2 linked regions of the Arabidopsis thaliana genome follow. The protein of the gene in region 2 interacts with the protein of the main gene of each other region in a pairwise test. Each region holds a gene or a part of one and is shown on either strand. Other genes may lie near its edges. The genes, in order: ETR2 and ADF3.

Region 1 (3,929 bases), on a different chromosome or scaffold from region 2:
TTCAAAACCTTAAACATCAATGAAGATCCTTCTTGACGTTTTCTAGGCTTTACTAAACTACCAACTATATGAAGTATCACTTGAAAGACCCTTCTTTCATCACCTACTACATTATCAGGTAGAGACTTCTCCGCGTCAACCAAGAACCTAATTCCATTGCATAGACACAAACATCTCGCCATACAAGCTGCTTCATGGATCGTACGATGCAGACTAAATGGTTTCATCTCCGTACCAAATCTACCGTCAGGCACATCCATAGAGTCCCCCACCAAATTCGACATAACATTCCCTGTTTTAACCATCGTATCAACAATCATTTTCTGCTCGTCACTCAACTTCTCGTCCTGAATCATCGACAAAAGACCGAGTATCGAATGCATAGGACGCCTCATCCCTTCGCTCATCGTTTTCTGAAACGCATTCCTCGCTTGGCTCGCTCTCAACGCGTCTCTCTTCGCCATCTGCAACGCCCTGTTCTGTTCCGCCAGCTTCTCCCTCATAAGCTGAGACTCTTCAAGAACCGCTGCATGATCTAACGCAACGGTTACTTGATCCGCCACAACTTTAACAATCTCAATCTCCTGATAAGTCCAATCCCGAGGCGTCCCGCCCGGTAAAACACAAACAAGTATCGCATAACTTAGCTCTCCATTAAAATCCGAAACACGAAGCATCGGCATTCTAATAGCAGCCACGGCACCAATCTCACTAACATCCCCACCACCACCACTAGCTCGAGCAATGGACGAGTCAACACTCAACACATTCACTTCATCACTCTCCCTAATCCTAACAACATCCAAATCCTCCATAGAAACAGAACAACCACCATAACCACCTCTCCCTCTCAACTCATGAGTCAAATCCATCTCCGTTCCACCGTCATTCGGCATCCAAACCGCACAATTCTGCAACCCTAAAGTCTTCGAAAGCTCAACCAAAGTAGTATAAAGAATCGTATGACGATCCAAAGACTTACGAATCTCTTGAGTAAGCATACGAACATGAAAGCCAGTCTCTTTCTTAATCAAAATCAAACCAACTTCACGACCAAGCTCATGAGCTTTCTTCTTAAGCATAAACTCTCTAACTTTAACTTTCAAAAGCAGAGGAATCAAAGTAATAAGCGTAATCGCAGTAGCACAAGAGACTAAAGCAGTCAACATCTTGAAAACAGTAAACGCCATCATTAATCTAAATGGATGAGCAGAGTAAGTCCAACCATGAAGAAGATGAGTCATACCACAAAGAACAATGAAGGCGATAAACTCAAAGAGAACCCATTTGAATGGAACATTGGAACAACTCACGAAGTAAAGTAACTCAATAGGGATTGAGAAATAAGCTACTGCGATTAAGAAATCGCTTACTCTTTGAGTTTCTAGAATGTTCTCTGTACTCCAGAAACTGTTTCCTTCGTCTTCGCAGTTACATCGTGGATAACCACCGCCGTTTATAGCTAAAACCGGAGAAACAAACACCACCATTGATAGTATCAATAACCAAGAAGCTATTTCTTTAACCATCTTCGGAGAAAAAAAATGCTTAGTCCATTATACTCTGCAATTAGAAAAACAAGAAACAGAGTGAGAAATAAAAATCAAAACTTTAATTTGGGTAATAGTAGAAAGAACAGAGAAAGAAAAATTTGGAATACCTGAAAGAGATGAGTTTGGATCAAAATGAAACAGTTCTCAGATCTCTCATCGACCTGTGAAATTCCAACGAAGTGATGTACGAGAATCTTCTAATTCTCTTCGACATTCCGATCTTCCTCTCATAGAAGAACAACGATGACGAGAATAAAAATACACAAAGAGAAAGACAGAGACAGAACAAAAAAAGCTGGTGATGACAAAACCAGAAGACTTAAAAGTGAAGAGATAGAGACAAATCTGAAACTACTTTGAAGTTATATAAAAAAACGTGAAGTACGTTTATTTATATATGCCGGAGATGATTAGTGCCGGAAAACCGCCATAAGCCGCCGATGGAGGATAAAAAGAGAAGTGTATGTATAGGGTGTAAGTAAAGGTAGGAGCCGTTGGTTTTAGAGGAAGGTTTTGAGATTTTTTCTTCTTCTTTATTCTCTGATTTAGAAACTTAAAGAGGTCCCACTTGTTCTTACATGAACCGAACTTAGACGGTCTTTTGAATTTTTTCTGAGTTGTGTTTTTTTTCTTACACTTAATAATTTTTTGGTCACTAATGTATTAATAAATCATTTAATATTGAAAACATTTGTTATTTCCTCAACTTGTACGTTTTATAAATTTAACTTATTACAAGCTGTAACATAGAATAATTAATGGGTACTCTGAATTTTATCAAAATCCCGTATATCATGAGACTGAAGAATAGAATAAAGCTTGTTTATTTGTATATGAATGAGTAAAATATTGGTATAATTGTTGGAAACTATCAAGCCACATGACATGAATCTAGGAACCTAAAAATTATTTTAATAAATGTGTTTTATTCCAAGAAAGTATAAAATTAAGACCAAGGAGGCAAATAGATCATATATTTCTTAAATTAGCTTTGTTTATAAACAAAAGAGCACAAAATCTAACGTAATCACTGTGTTTTGAACTGACACAAGTAGTCGGATATTTGATGAGATTAGTCTAATACTCTAATTAGATATTTTAATTAGTCAAATATTTACAAAAAGAAGATATGTATAACGCCTTAAGATGTTGATTAATATGAGGGACCTACAAAACTGTGATCTTTGATTTTATTATAATGTTTCCTTCACCATACATGAATCTAAAGAGTAATGAGTATATATTTGAAACCACATTGCTATTACTTTCCTAACTTTTAATTGTATGGTTTTGACTCTAGAAGAAACCATGTTAGACCACAGAATGTCAGAATCGCATGTGTTCTTTTATATTGAAGCTCTAATTAGTATCTACCAATCATCTTTGAAAAACATCATTGTTTAAAGCCTTTGTACATATTTATTTTATTTATTGATAGTACTATCTAAAGAAATTGAACCTAGAAGTTTTTAGACGACACGTTACCTAAGTTTTTTTTGTTGGTGTTTTTAGTGGTCACTGTAACAACAGAGAGTTTTAGCATCACTACCTATAACCATAATCTTGATGCTTCAAACGGAGTCATACAATTACAGAACAAAAAAAAATACATTGAAACTCTTGAGCATATTTTGTGAAGCTAGTTCGGATAATTTTGAATTTCCACAAGTAACAAAGTTTCTTGTTGTTTTTGTAATAAATCCCATCTTTATCTATAGAATGAGTACAAAGTCTCAAGAGACATTTAACTTTTTGCAACGATCTAGAAGAAAACACTTTAAAAGGCTCTCATGCGTTCTTCTTGCTTAACAATTAGTCACCGACTGTCAAATGCAAATGTTCTCCTAGAACCACAGTCATAACAGGGTGCTTTTCAATGCATGAGCACAATGAGAAGGAAACCCATATATCAAATATACAACTTATATATGACCATTAATCGCTTCGGTTACATTTATTTACCTCACGGGCAACACCTTCGTTTTTCAAAGATTCATCTTCTCGTAGATCAAGAATTACCATAACATCATATCTGAACCATGAACGAATGCAAATATTATATGTTTCCTCAACAATAGAGCATAGAGAAGTGGTATTTTTAATTAAGATATGTACTATCTACAGCTGCATCAATCTCTGTATCTTTCAAACCATCTGGACGTTTGAAATCTCTGACAATCTAAACAACACATGAACAAAATGTGTCATGAACATGGGTTCTTGAAGATACTGTAAACTTAAACAAGAAAGAAAATAAACTTAATGTTAAAGGTGGTGATATAAGGAAGATGTTGTCAAATCTAACCTTCTTAATTATCTCGTTCTCAAGACAAACACGATAGTCATCTGCACCAAAGACAGGAGCACAATGGACAA
Region 2 (3,929 bases):
TTTGATAGCATTTAATTACTACAAAATTACAAAATATTTAGACAATGATTCATAAACATATGATAAATAAGATCAACATTAATAAAATAAATGAATTTTTTTTACGGGACGGGTTAGCGGGACGGGTTAGCGGGACGGGTTTGGCAGGTTGTTACTTAATAACAATTCTAAACTATAAAATAAAAATATTTTATAAATAGTTACATAGATAGTTACAAATTGTAAACTTTTATATATACTACCTTTAAAATATAAATTGTCTCCGCGGTATACCGCGGGTAAAAATCTAGTAACGCCTATTATGGTTTGAAATATGATTCATCACATATTATATATATTTTTATTTGTTTGTAGTTTTGTATGTTTTGGGGTTTTGGCTATGTTTTTCTATAAAAATCAACACAATACTAAGTTGAGTAAAATAAATTATTGAACCAGTCAGCGATACAAAAATATCTAATAAGGAAGACCAAATAATCAGCATGAAAGGTCGACAATTAATGAAGAAAGTCATTTTGTAGAAATGCAAGCCTTTTGATACCAGCATAGCATACGGGCTTCTAAATTCTAATGCTCACATAATGTCATTTATTGTTTAAGAAATATCTAATATCGCTCGAAATATGAGATTTGTTGTTGTCGAAAAAACATAATCCAAAGAGTTATCAAGAATCTAAAATCTTGTGTTATCAATAATCTATAATCTCGAAGGAAGTATGCTTTGGTTCAATCAAGTAACACACGTCAATCTTAATCCTATTGAAACAATGGTATAGAAATATGCAAATACGATCATATCAACTAAGATATACCGAAACCAAATATATTGGGATCTTTCAAAAGGACACGATCGGGAACTCTAACTACTGTTTGAGACTTTCCTAAAGTTATATCGATAACTAACGGTCAAATACCTGCAAATTTTGGATATATATAAAGATATATACCGAGTTTGTGTATAAACATGTTGTTTCTCCTAATCATACGTTATTGGAAACATTAACGCGGTTTGCTTTATGCAACTTTGAAACATTTGCTAATTTGTTGATATAAAATTTGGCTATTTATACTGTTTAGTTTAGTAAGGAATTAACACAAATGTTTTAGCGCATTATTGCACATTTGTGTGAAATAATATACTATTTTCGGGAAAATCATAATCGAAATAGAATTCCAAAATTTCCACGTGGCATATTATGAAAGGAATATTCCAGCTCGGGTAAGCTGGCCTCCATCACCGGTTATGATGAAAGGTGAGCCGAAAGTGGAGCCAACCTGAGATGCCCCGCATGAGAGCCATATGCTTCTTCGACCTTTCATTCTATATTCTTTCCTTTTAAAGATAGCAACTATTGATCAAAAAAAAGAAGAAAAAAGATAGGAACTATAGAACTATAGTCTTTTTTTTTCAACGAAGAACAAATATATGGTTATGAACTATTCTTAATGGATGGTCAAACAGATTTTTTGATTTTTTTCTAAGAAATTTTGCATGTGAATACATAACTACAGTTAATTCCATTCAACTGTTACTTTTCTTTGGGTGAAACAATAGGTTGGCAACTTGGCATAGATATCAACATCAGAGTTTTGAACAAATCTATCATCATTTAAGAAATGATAGAAAATCAAGTATTGTTTTTCAAATCAAGAAATATCAAAGAAGAATTCTGTATTAAGTTTAGTTCTCATGGAAGCCATAGAATATATCAGAAGTTTGAAACAAACAGCAAATATATGGAATAAAAAACATAGTTATTGGAATAAATAGAATAGTTATTTTTTTTTGTTTGGCATAAAATAAAGAAAATTATTTGTTCAACAAATTGTTACAGATTTCACTTATGTATATTTTGAACTAATTCTTATTTTTATATTAATTAAATCAAGATTTTACTTTTGAAAAATAATTAATGAATTTATGAAACAATCTCTATGTAAATAAAATAAAGCAAATTAAAACGCTCACACATGTTTACTTATTCGGACTAGAGAGCTTCCGCATAAAGCTGAGGAAAAAAAAGAGAGAAGACGCACACCGAAGAAAACACACAAGACTCCATTATTCTCCTGCTTCTTCGTCTCTTCAATTATTTTCTCTGAGACTAGCTTTGATTCAACCATGGTGAGCTCAAGTCTAATTTTTCTCTCTTATATAGTTCTCTTTCTTTGTTCTCTATGGCTTGATTTGAACTTTGCTTCTCGATTCGAGTTCCATTTCATCTTGGATTTTCAATTCTTCCGATTTAAGTTCTCGCCCAGAGTTAGATATGATTAGATCTGTAGATGGACTCGTTTCTTTGTTTAGATCTCTGAGATTTTGGATTTGTATGGTTAGATGGACTGATCTAGGATATGAATCGGCCGATAGTAAAGTCTTCAATTTCAGTGTGCTTGTGTTGGTTTTAGCCAATTGATTTTGAAACCAGGAAGAATAATAGTGTTCCATGTGGTTTTCCTTTGATTTTAGGGTTACGTCTATCGTTTGTTTAGCCTTTTCCTTTTATAAGATATTGTTTTCTCGCTTCTTTGAGTTATTATTTGCTGCTGTTGAAGTTTTCAGATGTGTGTTTGATTCTGTTGATGGTAGAGTATCATCCGATTAATATGATTCAGAACTGTAAAATCTGTCAAATTGATATTATGATAGCTCAACATCATCGTTCATATACGTTGTGGGAGTCATCCACGTCTTCCCTTTGATATACACACTACCAAGATCTGTTCATGATTCATTATGTTTGATCTCTGAACTAATGTATAACCCGAACGCCGTTTTAAAAGATGGGTATAGTGTCTACTAATATGTGTATTCTGAAGAGAGTTGCATCTTAATGTTCTATGTTTTGTTGGTAACAGGCTAATGCAGCATCAGGAATGGCAGTCCATGATGACTGCAAGCTGAAATTTATGGAATTGAAGACGAAAAGGACACACCGTTTCATCATTTACAAGATTGAGGAGCTGCAGAAACAAGTGATTGTTGAGAAAATCGGTGAACCGGGTCAAACCCATGAGGACCTTGCTGCAAGTCTTCCAGCTGATGAATGCCGCTATGCCATTTTCGATTTTGATTTTGTCAGTTCTGAGGGTGTCCCAAGGAGCAGGATTTTTTTCGTGGCATGGTAACTAACTAACTATACTATCTCTGCTAAAACCTGTCTATCTTGGTTTCACATTCTTTTCATTAACATTTCTTCTTGTTTTTTTTTTGCCAGGTCTCCGGACACAGCAAGAGTGAGAAGCAAGATGATCTATGCGAGCTCCAAGGACAGGTTCAAGAGAGAACTAGACGGAATTCAGGTCGAGCTTCAGGCAACCGATCCAACCGAGATGGATCTTGATGTTTTCAAAAGCCGAGCCAATTGATGAAAGAAATCCCCTGAAAATTTCGGTTGAATCAAACTTTTTCGTACTATTACTCAGTGATGCTTTTTCCTAAAGTTTGCTGTGACGGTACCAACCTGAACAGCTTCATTTTATCAGTTTGGTCTTTGTCTTTGTCTTTGGTCTCCTTTTTGGGTCCTTATAGTGTTGTCTTAAAACTTAAGGAATCTGGCTTGTGCTCTTTACCATTGTGGAAGAAATCGAACCCTTTATTAAACAAGAATCCTATTGGCACATCTTGTCTTCACATAATGAAAACTAATGATCCAGGGATTAAAAAGTTGTGAAAGTTTTATAGGCAAGTTGATACTGTGCAAAGGTAATATACATTTTCAAACATAAGGATCTCTGGATTGATAGAATTTCATTTCGTACACGACTATTCACATATTCGTCAATGCGACTATTTCAGGTTCAAAGTATTAGGAATTTAGGATAGTTCCAATAACGAGAAGAGTTGCTCAATCGAGTTTGGTCCAATAAGATAAACTGACCATCAAACATAAAATCCTAATCGATACTTTTGATTATTTGGAAACAGA

The links.
Region 1: the proteins of ADF3 (region 2) and ETR2 interact in a two-hybrid assay, tested with the Arabidopsis thaliana proteins (one study listed by BioGRID).

What each region holds. Positions count from the first base shown.
Region 1 is NC_003074.8:8,252,756-8,256,684, reverse strand, and holds the start of ETR2 (Signal transduction histidine kinase, hybrid-type, ethylene sensor), read right to left. Parts: upstream 2,127-3,929; 5' UTR 1,661-2,126; intron 1,564-1,660; 5' UTR 1,530-1,563; coding exon 1-1,529. Other genes in the region: AT3G23145 (ATP binding / aminoacyl-tRNA ligase/ nucleotide binding protein), read right to left, coding at 3,489-3,553, 3,669-3,732, 3,859-3,929. UniProt on the Arabidopsis thaliana protein: Ethylene receptor related to bacterial two-component regulators. Acts as a redundant negative regulator of ethylene signaling.
Region 2 is NC_003076.8:24,118,260-24,122,188, forward strand, and holds ADF3 (actin depolymerizing factor 3), read left to right. Parts: upstream 1-1,904; 5' UTR 1,905-2,122; coding exon 2,123-2,125; intron 2,126-2,859; coding exon 2,860-3,125; intron 3,126-3,218; coding exon 3,219-3,369; 3' UTR 3,370-3,690; downstream 3,691-3,929. UniProt on the Arabidopsis thaliana protein: Actin-depolymerizing protein. Severs actin filaments (F-actin) and binds to actin monomers.